Arabidopsis thaliana: one gene and its partner. The protein of the gene in region 1 interacts with the protein of each later gene in a pairwise test. Each region holds a gene or a part of one and is shown on either strand. Other genes may lie near its edges. The genes, in order: AT5G65260 and nPAP.

Region 1 (5,271 bases):
ACCAACCACCACGTAATTCACCGCGAGAACCACTGAAATCACGGCGGATGATAAAATACAAAGCGCTTCCGCGAAAGAAACAAAGCTGCCCAAATCGAAACCATCGGAACTGGCGTCTTCTAGTAAGTTAGAAGAAGAGCTATCCTCGAATGATCCGATAGAAGACGCATGAGCTCTATAATTTCGATCGATCTCGAAATTCGACTGGGTAGAGATGACGTGGCGGAGGAAGATAGGCTGGGGGAATGATATAGAATCCCGGCGAGAAGCTCGTGCGGCGGAGACGGCGAAGCAGAGGTTGCTCCTCCTGCTGATGCGAACAGGAGTCGAGCCGGAGAAGAGAGCGTATCGAGAAGGAAGCGATAAGGACATTATCGTCTTTTCGGGTCTGTGACAAGTGACTGGTTAAATCTCAGGTCATTGCAAGAAATGGCTACGACCTTGACGTCCATCATCAGAAGAGAACCTCTTACAGGCGCATGGTAGCAAAGCCTCGACAATAAAAGTTTAAAATGCGCGGAACATCTTTGGAGTTGATTTGCTAAGCGAATAAAAAGAGTCAACACTTTCATTTAACAGATTTCAGCTATAACCCAATAGTCCCAATTATATAAGCAACACTTGATCCAATCATTATATGCATCATATCAAAACGATATGAAACTTATAATACCAGTCTAGGTTCGAAAATGTTTACGCGCAAAGTTCTAAAAGGCGAAAGAGCCAAAGTCATAAAGAAAGCTCAATGAAGGATGGGTATAGCCAATACACGCATCCACACTGGTAGCGAATCCCTTCTATGCTTAACCATGATGACGGTTTTATTGGTACGGCATGTAACGCATAGGCCTTCTAAACCTAGGAGCTTTTCTGCAAAAAAAAAACACCAAAAAGTGTGAGAAGTGGATAAAGCTGTGTGACCACAATCAACATATATGTCTTGATGTTAAAACCAACTTACCCGTATCCATATGGGGAATACATATAAGGAGACATGAAAGGTCTGCGGAACCGGTAACCCATGTATGGATTGAATCGTCTACCACGGAACTGTTTCAATCCAGGAACGTTTGTTCTCTTCTGCAAGACCTGAAATTATTTTAAGCCAGATGAGAAAACGATGGAATCATAAGGGGTTTTTTCATGGTAAAAAGTGTTTTGTTTGATGGTATAGTAAGATGTGTACCTTTAATTGACGACCATGTAGCTCTGATTCATTCAGTTGTAGAGCCTCTTGAACAGCTTCCACTTCGACGAATTCTACATATGCAAATCCCTTTGGCTGCCCGAATTTGTCTGTCAGAATGGTCACCCGATGGACAGTGCCGCATGTTTGGAAATGCTGCTGAACTTCTTCAGGTGTGCAAGCGTAATCAACCTGCACAGTCAAATATGCAGTTATAGTATATAACAAACTAGCATAAACCCATGGAGTCCTTCACCGAGCACACAAAGAGTAATCCATCAAATTAATTAGTTCAGCTAAACAAGAAAACGTAGCAAAGACATTCCTCTTTTACTATCCTTCATTACACACACACCAACATAAATATATGTGCAAGGTAAAGCAGAACAATAGGAAAGCAAAGTGGAATTTAGTATACTTGAGCAGCCTTTGAGTTGAAAAGATCCCTTACGCTGTGTACCGAGCATAAACTTTATGCCAAGCTTAATTTTATGTTACCATCAAACAGCTGCTTCTCACCAACGCAGCTAATGAGCCTTGACTACAAAGCATCCAGCATCTTGATGCAGCACTTCAAACGCTATCTCCTCGAGGATGGATTGAGAAATACTCCACTCAAACATTGTCCCCTCTCCAGATATCTCTTTTTCCCTCATAATCATAACATTTTTCCTTCTCTATATTGCTCTAAAGCGTATTCATTTCCTTTTCTTTATTCTTTTTTCATAGCTTTATTCAATGCTTTTTTGCCTCTTTTTTTTAGCTTTTTTCATCATGTTCCACAACAAAACAGAACAGATCTTTTTCAACTCCATAAAAGGAAAATGTAAAGACCCCACAAAACCTAATTGATATAACCCAGAGCAATTAAGAACTTCAGGAACAAAATCCTGCGATTGTAGTGAGAAAAATCATAAGAAAAGTAAAACTCAACGCCAGAAAACAAAAACTATAGCATCCTCAAATTTGCACAGAAAAGTTACTAAACATATGAAATTTTCAATTATATCTGAAGGCTAAGGTTCCACCAGTAATATGAAGACTCAATCTACTTTCCAAAACCCTCAATATCACTAACAACAGAAACCCCTCACTAGTTTTCATTTGAAGATAAAGTCTTCACGCTAAGCACCAACTTTTTACCATTCAACAATTTCATCTAATAAGAGTTCTCACTGAATAGACAAGAATCCATAGCAACAAAGATGTGACATTACACCAAAAGTCAGAGTAAACTAGTGATATATTCAAGCACTAAATGTAGAGAATGCAATCATGGATCAGGAAGAGAACATAATCAGATAATAGATTTCTACGATAATAATTCTAACACCCTAGATAAAAGGTTTTGTATCAAGAGAGCTAAAAAAGGCACAATTCATAGTCTAATCCAATGAACATTAAGATCAATACGAGTTAAAAACTATGAAAATAAAGCAGAAGCTAGCTAAGATGGCTTAAAGAAAGAAAACGACGCAGAAACATAAATATTCTTACATTGCCAACAAAAACTGATCGAGCATCAACCTCCTCCTTGCCTGCTTGATTCGCTGCAATACTAGCAGGATCTGGAATAACAAAATTGAACCAAAAACTTTAGTCAAGAAGCAAAAAAAAACTCCATATACATAACATAATTCACAGTGGAATTCTAAGATGGATTCAAACACCACCAAGTAGCTACCAATTATCAAAAACCTAGCGAATTGCGGGAAGCACGATGATAATCATATCAAAGAAGCGAGTTATAGCAAAACCAAATCAAAGAGACGAAAACCTTGAGCTCCCATTTCCTTCTCGACCTTAGCCTGCATCTCACGCAGAGCAGCAGCTTCGTCCTCCATCTCTTTCAATCGTTTCTTCATTTCATCCAACTCCTAGAATTACAACAGCAATAACACAACAATCAAACACATATACACGCGATAACAAATCAATCGAGCTCAGTCACATAAAGATGAGCAAAACAGTAAGAGAGAAAGAGATAATAGTAGACCTTAACCGCATCATCATCAGCAGCAGCCATATCCAAATCGGGGTTGAGAGCCTCCATATCTCCATCCATCTCTCCGACGTCTGGAATTTCACCACCGTAAACCTCGTGCTCCTCTTCCTCCATCGTCTCTCTCGCTCTCTCTCCGTCGCGACGTTTGCTTTGTTTTCTTCTGAAAACGCTTAGGTCACTTTTTGTCAATTCGGATAGCGACACGTAATCAACCAAATAACGGCCCTTTATTATAACTTAATGGGCCTAATAAGGCCCAATTTTAAAAGACTTTTTAACATTCGAAATTACCCTATTTGATGACATCATCACCCAAAAACATGCGCCTGACAGAAAGATAATTGTCGAATCCGTCAAATCTCACCGAGCCGGCAGAATCCAACGGTTAATATTTAGACACGTCATCATTAATTAAAAATATTGACTAATAGTTGACAACGACGACAATACGACCGTATCAGATCTCTCTCTGCGTTTAAAACTTCAAAAAAGCTCACTTTTCGGTAAAAGCTTAAAACAGAGGATTTAGCAAGAGAGGATTTAGCGAGAGAGAGACGTTGAAGAAGATGACTAGTGGAGGAGGATACGGAGATCCGTCGCAGAAGATTGATTATGTGTTCAAAGTGGTGTTGATCGGCGATTCCGCGGTTGGGAAATCACAGATACTGGCTCGTTATGCTAGAGACGAATTCAGTTTGGATTCTAAGGCCACCATCGGCGTTGAGTTTCAGACTCGGACGCTTGTTATCGATCACAAGAGTGTTAAGGCTCAGATCTGGGATACCGCCGGCCAAGAACGGTAATCTCCGACCTCTCCCGGAACTTTTAGCTACTTCAATTGCTTGAACTTAGATCTCGTAAGATTTTACTGTTTCTCTAGATCTGGAAGATGATAGGTCTGCTTAGGATTTCGAATTCTAGTAAAGCTTACTGATCTGTATACGAAATTGGGAGGATCTGAAGTAAAATGGTAGAATCATTGAGAATTTGGGATTGGGATTTCAAAATTATGTATAGACTAGAATTATGTATATTACTATTCCAATGTTATTAAGCTTCTATAATTTTATGATTGGTACAAATTTGGACACTTTTGTTATACATTTCCCAGTGATGCTTCATCAACTTTATACATTCACTGATCTTTAATGAGTAAGCTAACCACCACATTTCATGCTTATCATATGCTTACATTGTATATCTTTCTATATGTGTGGTATTGGTTGAAACAGATACAGAGCAGTAACAAGTGCATATTACCGAGGAGCGGTTGGGGCGATGTTGGTGTATGACATAACCAGACGCCAAACCTTTGACCATATCCCAAGATGGTTAGAAGAACTACGTGCTCATGCAGATAAGAACATTGTGATAATCCTTATTGGGAACAAGTCAGATCTTGTGGATCAACGAGCTATACCGACAGAAGATGCGAAAGAATTTGCGGAGAAAGAAGGTTTGTTCTTCTTGGAGACATCTGCATTTAACGCAACCAATGTTGAGAGCGCTTTCTCCACGGTTTTGACTGAGATCTTCAACATTGTGAACAAGAAAAGTCTGGCTGCGAGTGAAGATCAAGAGAATGGTAATCCCGGGTCGCTTGCTGGTAAGAAGATTGATATTGTTCCAGGTCCTGGTCAAGTGATACCAAACAAGAGTAACATGTGTTGTAACTCTTAGATAAACCAATTCAATTCTTGAATGTTACTTGATAACAACAATATATAGATGTTTTAAAGACTCTGATTGGGATATTTCTCCTATCTAGAGCTGTGTGATTCATTTGTTGCTTAATGAGCAGTTTTTGTGGGGTTTTGGGGTGTTGAATCCAAGTATAACAAACCGATCTTAATTTGATCTTAAAAATTGGATATTAATTTGATCAACATGTTTTTATTCTCTCTACATTTGTAAGATTATTGTTACATTTTTGTTAATTACAAATATATACCAGCAATAACAACTTTTCTATTTCTCTTGTTACGTCAATGTGAAAAAGTAAAAATTAAAAACTGAAGCATCCGATTTTAATAATTGGTATCACAGTTCTGATAAATTCTCACTCGGCCGTTTTACCACT
Region 2 (7,408 bases), on another chromosome or scaffold:
TAAGTACAACATCAACTTACCTTACTACTGAATAAGCAGCATTTGATTGCAACGGGTTTGGATAAGTCTGTTAGAGAAGGTATCAGCAAAAGTGAATAAAGTATAAAATGAAACGAAGCTATAGCATGATTTGAAATATGAACCAAAAAGCTTTTTTTTTTCTCCATGGCAAGACTAATTTACAATCCAATTCTTCCATTACTCTACATGTATAAGAACCTCATTACATTAGCATCAAATTTAGAAAATAGTAAGTGATTAATAGATCTAATCAAACATTCGGTGACGAGTAAGCATATGTGCACCAATCAATTTCCACGTTGACATTGATTTAACATTTCACATTTGTATGCACTAATACGAATATAAATATTTATGTAATTCTCTCCCTGATAGAGACCAGGATCTCATCAACAGTCCGAATCAACATATAGGCTAAAAATAGGCGAAACCAATTATACAAACACAACTTTTGCATTTGCTATACACGAACCACCAAATCGGCAACAATATCAAATTCGTAAATCGTATAACCACCGATCCATGAAAATGTCGATTTCAAAGAATAATCGATGGAATCGTATAGAGATAGAGAGAGGAAGTAGTACGGGGAGATCGAGAATGTAATCGCTCAAATGAGGAACATCTTCGAGTACATAACCAGCAGGTCCTTCCACCAACTTAATCTGCTCGTCCACGCCATTAGAAGCCATCGAAGAAAACCTTATTCTTCTGAGTGTTTTTCTCTCCGGTGACGTAAAGCGACTGTGAATTTGAAGCGTATGTATGTATGTGAGTTTTAATTCTCAGAGCTCAGAGTGGTATAGAAGTAAGGAACGAGAAAGCGACGTCGTTTTGGCTCACCGTTACTTTATGATATACGGACATTACCGAAATACCAGCGTAAACGGCGGCTGGTTTTTCCTTTTGTCAATTTCCGGTTTTCAGATAATTGATTCGTGGATAAATGCAGAAGTATGGATAAAATCTCATTAATTATCTTTATTATACCTTTAAAGAAAATGACAAAAATTAAACGATAAGAATATCTTAATATTTACGAAATATATTCTTAGTAATTTCTCTATTTGGTGTCAAAAATATATAGGCAATTTTTCTATTCTTTAATTTCTTAAGATTTTTTTTTTTTAAAATCATTTTTTCTTAGTATATGGTATTGTTCATGACAAAGAGAGAAATATCATATCCTGTTGAGAAATAGCATTTATAAAAACTGATTTGTTTTGTAAAAATAATAATGTCAAGCTAATGTATAGATCGAATAGTTATTTTAGCTTAAAAATCAAATTTCTGAGAGGAGAAAATTTATCTTACAAATCTTTATAACGCTTAAGTATAAAAAAAAGATCTTAATACACAATTGTCCGAAAAAATCATTTTTAAACTATCAAATTATCGGTTTAAACTTTTTATTTGATTAACAAATCAATCTAAACTTTACAAATCTTCATGAATCAATTTAGGATTTAAATATCAAACAAGTGGATTCTAAAATAATAAAGTTTCCTCTCCAATTAGGAGTATAATGAATTACATATTTGGAAAGAAAAGATTCGAGTATTAATAAATTTTAGATGAATTTGATAAGTTTTAGACAGTTAGGAAAGTTGTTACTATTTGTTATTAAAAATATTTGCAATCTCCCTCACTAAAAAAAAATAATATTTGCAATCTCACAAAACCATGAGAATTGGGTCTTTGTAATTTTTAATCAAGGAAATCCATTATTACATCACTAATTGAAATTCATGTTTGTATATACAGCCTAAACTTTTGTATATACAGCCTAAACTTTTGTATCTTTTATTTAAAAACACTTTAATATGTTAAAATCCAATATAGTATCAAAATTATATCAAAATCTAATAAACAACACACCAGTTTTCAACTTTATCAATTAAAATTAACAGATGGTGATTTTAAATCAGTTGGTTTCCATCGACACATGATTTCTAGTTACCAATAATCCCACTAACCCCATTAAAATCTTTAAATTAAAAATCTGAACAAAATTATCTAATTTAGATTTGTTTTCAAAATGATTACAATGTTTTCTTGTTTTGAACGGAGACTTATCGGCTCCCTCCGTAAAATAATCATACACATTAATCCACTAATCAAAATTTAATTATAAAATCGAATCGCCGTGTACCTAATATCTTCCCCAACCTTTGCTCTCTCTCTCTCTCCATCTCCCTCATACCTCCTTCTTCTTCTTGATCCATCATCTCTCTCTCTTTCTCTCTTCTCTCTGTTCCTAGTCCATCGATTTAACCTCTTTCAGATTCTCCTTCTTCTTTGACTTTTTTTGACACCGTAGTCTCTTTCCCCTTCCATCGATTTAGGGTTTCCGATTTTCAAAATCTCCTTTTTATTTGTTTCCTCTCCTTGTGCAATTCCCGTCTCGAATCCATCTTGACCTGGGGGTCTGATCCGATCTCCCTCTAATCATATCGTGAAGCGAGATTATGTTTTTGTGCTGCGCTTCTGCTTTGATCGCTTAGGATTATCAATCGTGTTATGATGGTGGGTACTCAAAATTTAGGTGGTTCGTTGCCGCCGCTGAATTCTCCTAAAAGCTATGGAATTACGAAGCCGCTCTCTCTTGCTGGGCCTTCTTCGGCGGATATTAAGCGTAATGTGGAGCTGGAGAAGGTAAAGCTTTGTTTTTTTGTTTATACAAAAATTGTTCCACTGTTTAAAGGATTCGTTGATTTGGCTTATCTGATGTGTATTTTCTTATATGCTCAAGTACTTGGTTGATGAGGGACTCTACGAGAGCAAGGATGATACCATGCGGCGAGAGGAAGTTCTAGGACGCATCGATCAGGTGACTCAGCGTGTCTCGTTGATTGTTTGTTCTGTATATTTACAAGTGTTATCTTTTGATGGTTGTGCTAATTGGGTGTCTGAATCGACAAGAATAAAATTATTGTGTTTATAATGGTCTTTTAGGTTTCATTGTATTGGTTCTTACTCGTGTATGGTTGTTGATTTTGGGCTAAGCATAGATCATAGTTCAATATGAAATAGACTGGTCAGGCATATGTTCTTATGTCCATTGATTTACTTTGCTGTTTTTAAGTTTCTTCACATGCTGTTCATTGTGCTATTTGTCTGAAACTATCAATCTTATCTCCCACCTTTTTTTTTTAGATTGTAAAGCACTGGGTGAAACAGTTAACGCAGCAAAGAGGATATACTGATCAGATGGTGGAAGATGCAAATGCTGTCATTTTCACCTTTGGATCCTACCGACTTGGCGTAAGTGCTACTTGTTTACCGCTTCCTTGCTTTTATCTTGAAGCTAAAATGCGTATAATATGTTTTTTGCTATATGTTTGTGGATTACTCGAGAGATCGCTCTGTTTTTGTCTATGCAAATGCAATCTTAGTCTCTGAGGCTGAACCGACTTCAATTTTGTTCACTTTGCAGGTGCATGGTCCTGGGGCTGACATTGATACTTTGTGTGTTGGGCCATCTTATGTTAACCGGGAGGTGACTCTTGCTACCACTTATTGATGCAGAAGTTTGATTCTTTAGTTCTTAACACTTACTCTTTACAGGAGGATTTCTTCATCATCTTGCATGATATATTGGCTGAGATGGAAGAAGTGACTGAGCTCCATCCTGTTCCCGATGCCCATGTTCCGGTCATGAAATTTAAGTTTCAAGGAATACCGATTGATCTGCTCTATGCTAGCATATCACTTTTAGTTGTGCCACAGGTAATTTTCTGTGAATTTATTGTATCTTTCTTTGTTTTTGCTGAAGCTGTAGGGTCTGATAAATTTATATTAGCTTGTATATATTATGCTATATGTTGTGCTTGTTTGCATGTTGATGGAGACAGATAGTGTATTACTCATCCTCAATGGCTTATATAGTAAACAAATTTATTTTAGTAGTTTCTGGCTTGAGAGAGAGATCTGAAAAGTTTGCTGGCTATTTTGGTGCATCGGTTTTGATTTTTATATGAAAACTGAGCCCGTGAGCTGTCATGGTAGATTACAATCTCTTGCTGAATCAAATTTCTTGTTTTCATGGATTTGGTTTATCGACAGGATCTGGATATCTCCAGCTCTTCTGTGCTGTGTGAAGTTGATGAGCCAACCGTTCGAAGTCTTAATGGTTGTAGAGTTGCTGATCAGATTCTTAAACTCGTTCCAAATTTTGAGGTAAACTCACAGAATGCCAGTCATTATGTTAACATATGAATGAACTATGGTTACCTTCTCTTATCTTATGTGCAATTGTAGCACTTCCGGACAACCTTAAGATGCCTGAAGTACTGGGCTAAGAAGCGTGGGGTGTATTCAAATGTAAGATCATAGCTTTCTGAAATTCGTATTTATTGAAAACTTTCATGTCTAAGCTCTTGTCATATTTCTCATATTGGGCAGGTGACTGGATTTCTTGGCGGTGTAAACTGGGCACTTTTGGTTGCTCGTGTCTGCCAGCTTTATCCAAATGCAATTCCTAGTATGCTGGTTTCTCGTTTTTTTAGAGTATATACTCAATGGCGGTGGCCGAACCCAGTCATGCTTTGTGCAATAGAAGAGGATGAGCTTGGATTTCCTGTCTGGGACCGTCGTAAGAATCATCGCGACCGCTATCACCTTATGCCAATAATAACTCCAGCTTACCCATGCATGAATTCTAGTTACAATGTCTCTCAAAGCACTCTTCGCGTTATGACAGAGCAGTTCCAGTTTGGTAACAATATCTTGCAGGTAAGTGAGCAAAACTTTTGACTTGTTATCTCAACTATTTATTCAGGATCCTATACTTATGCATGATTTTTAATGCAGGAGATTGAATTAAATAAACAGCACTGGAGCTCTTTATTTGAACAATATATGTTTTTCGAGGCATACAAAAACTACCTTCAGGTTGATATAGTGGCAGCAGATGCAGAAGATTTATTGGCTTGGAAGGGTTGGGTGGAGTCGCGGTTCAGACAGCTGACCTTAAAGGTTGATAGCCTCCTCTTTTCATTTGATTTACAGTAATAAACCTGCTGTATATCAGTGTTTAATCATATTTGTTGTGGTAGAAAATATAAAATTATTAAATGTTTCTCGATTTTGTTTCTTTTCATTCAATAATGCAGATAGAAAGAGACACTAATGGGATGTTAATGTGCCATCCCCAACCAAATGAGTATGTAGACACGGCTAGGCAGTTTCTGCATTGTGCCTTTTTCATGGGCTTGCAGAGGGCAGAGGGAGTTGGGGGTCAAGAATGTCAACAGTTTGATATACGTGGTACTGTCGATGAGTTCAGACAAGAAGTAAACATGTATATGTTTTGGAAACCTGGGATGGATGTTTTCGTTTCTCATGTTCGTAGACGACAGCTTCCACCTTTTGTTTTCCCTAATGGATATCGAAGGCCTCGGCAGTCCAGGCACCAAAATCTACCGGGTGGAAAATCTGGTGAAGATGGCAGTGTTTCTCATTCCGGCTCTGTGGTGGAGAGGCATGCCAAGCGAAAGAACGATAGTGAAATGATGGATGTGAGGCCAGAGAAACCTGAGAAGCGTGCATCTCTTAGTCCACAGAGTCTAGATATAGTTTCTCCTGAAAATAGTGCTATCACAACTGGTTGGACTCCTCCTGTTTGCAACCTTAGAAGGCCACCAAGCGAGGAAATAGAAGCTGATAATTTGAACACTGAGTGTACTGAACTCACAGACTTAGCTCGAAATGAGTGTAACTCTGGCAGCGAGCAAGTTCTTGAAGTAGATAGTATGGCTGTAGTTCAAGAATGCTCTGATCCTGCTGAGCCTTTGGGAAAGTGTGTAACACCTGACTCTGTTGATGTGGTAGCATGTGTAAGTGGGCAGGAAGAAAACTTAGATCGTAATTTGAGGTCTGTATCCATCAGTGGTACTGACTCCCCACTTCTTCCGAGCAGATCCTGTGGGCAGAACCGTGATTATGAGGTTAGTTTTTTTTTTCTTTTTGTATATGTTTGGGGGTTCTGGTGTGTTATCAGAAATTGGCAATAATTGTTTGAACATACCGGGCATAGTAATGATGAGTTTTTACAGGGTTTCGGGTTTCCTGCTGCAAATTCAGATCCTATGGGAAAGAAAAACTTGTACTCTCAAAGCGGCATGTCGGAAGACCTTCAGGTTATTAAGCTACCTCACAGTAGTTATCATAAGATTAGTTCTGTTGAAAATATTTAATAGCTGGTTTAAAAATGAATGTCCAATGATATGCGAGCATCAATTCTCCACACTACATGGAATCTCATACTGGTTTCATAGTGTCAAGAAACATAGGATGGAGCTAAGTTTGAAATTTGATGGTTGTCCATAAACAGTACTACTTAAGAGGTCAATGTTTCTGCTGTGTTATAACTTGCCTTGTGTGATTTCTGCTGCATACCGCCTAACTAGTGCATATATATGATTGGCAGGTCCTGCACTGCAAAGCAACTCCGCTTGAAACTTATTGAATTAGACTTTTCTCTCTTTGATTAAGTTTTGTAAGGAATAAAACTAACTTATGTTGTTGCTCGTAATCTTGTCTTGTCTTAGTCAAACTCTTTGGTGAGCGGGATGGAGAAGTCGGAAGACAGAGCTAGGTCAGAATCTTTCCAGAAGTCACAGATAAGGCATGTGTGTTATGCAAAGTCATGATTTCTTTATGTTATTCTTGTTGTGTATTTGGTTTCATTGGTGCTTTTATAGCACAAGCAGGTTAAGCTTAAAGTCCACTGTGTGAACGTCCTCTAGGCTATTGACGTGAAGAAAACGGGGGATTTCAACTCAAATTGTTGCGTTGGACAGACGACAGAGTCCAGAAGCTTTTGGTAAGTGAATTTTTAATATGGAAAAAAGAAAAAAGAAAAAAAAAAGTTAAAAAATGACATTTGAAAAATTCAAAAAAAAAAAAAAGAATTAAGTTAAAAAAAAAAAGGTAACCAAAAGAGAAAAGAAGGTATAGGCAGAGAAAGCATTGGTGGTGGTATTTTGAGTGAGCTTGGATGATGACCAAAGCTCAATATGCGTCATCAGGATCATAACTTGAAGATTGAAATGATTTATATAATGTCTGGATGATGAATGCTTTTTTTTTTTTATTATTCGGCTGTTTCAGACTCTGGTCCTCTTAGGGCTTTGACTTGAATCGTTTGTGTTTTTTTAATTTTATTTTGCGGTTTATGTATATAAGATCTATGCCTCCTTGTCTCTCGTTTTTGGAGTTATGCTGTCAAAACTAAGTGAGAGTAGTTGCAATGAAAGGCTTTAAAATAAAGGTTTCTGATCTATATCAAAGTCAAAACACTGTTTCTTTTTTTCTTATGATGTAATATGATGGAAAATCTATAGAGGAATTGGAATAATTGGTGGTTGAACCGGGAAAGACAGAT

Evidence for each region.
Region 2: the proteins of AT5G65260 (region 1) and nPAP interact in a two-hybrid assay, tested with the Arabidopsis thaliana proteins (one study listed by BioGRID).

What each region holds. Positions count from the first base shown.
Region 1 is NC_003076.8:26,079,680-26,084,950, forward strand, and holds AT5G65260 (RNA-binding (RRM/RBD/RNP motifs) family protein), read right to left. Parts: upstream 3,388-5,271; 5' UTR 3,306-3,387; coding exon 3,183-3,305; intron 3,064-3,182; coding exon 2,964-3,063; intron 2,755-2,963; coding exon 2,684-2,754; intron 1,379-2,683; coding exon 1,187-1,378; intron 1,090-1,186; coding exon 962-1,089; intron 871-961; coding exon 822-870; 3' UTR 543-821; downstream 1-542. Other genes in the region: AT5G65250 (uncharacterized protein), read right to left, coding at 1-372; RABA4a (RAB GTPase homolog A4A), read left to right, coding at 3,758-3,990, 4,424-4,871. UniProt on the Arabidopsis thaliana protein: Involved in the 3'-end formation of mRNA precursors (pre-mRNA) by the addition of a poly(A) tail of 200-250 nt to the upstream cleavage product.
Region 2 is NC_003075.7:15,847,593-15,855,000, forward strand, and holds nPAP (nuclear poly(a) polymerase), read left to right. Parts: upstream 1-2,179; 5' UTR 2,180-2,541; coding exon 2,542-2,676; intron 2,677-2,773; coding exon 2,774-2,851; intron 2,852-3,177; coding exon 3,178-3,285; intron 3,286-3,457; coding exon 3,458-3,520; intron 3,521-3,588; coding exon 3,589-3,750; intron 3,751-4,086; coding exon 4,087-4,200; intron 4,201-4,281; coding exon 4,282-4,344; intron 4,345-4,425; coding exon 4,426-4,755; intron 4,756-4,833; coding exon 4,834-4,998; intron 4,999-5,135; coding exon 5,136-5,969; intron 5,970-6,077; coding exon 6,078-6,161; coding exon of another isoform or gene 6,162-6,218; exon of another isoform or gene 6,219-6,299; coding exon of another isoform or gene 6,300-6,314; exon of another isoform or gene 6,315-6,572; coding exon 6,573-6,653; coding exon of another isoform or gene 6,654-6,674; exon of another isoform or gene 6,675-6,725; coding exon of another isoform or gene 6,726-6,759; exon of another isoform or gene 6,760-6,770; coding exon 6,771-6,851; 3' UTR 6,852-6,868; downstream 6,869-7,408. Other genes in the region: PFK6 (phosphofructokinase 6), read right to left, coding at 21-67, 609-713. UniProt on the Arabidopsis thaliana protein: Essential protein. Polymerase that creates the 3'-poly(A) tail of mRNA's. Also required for the endoribonucleolytic cleavage reaction at some polyadenylation sites.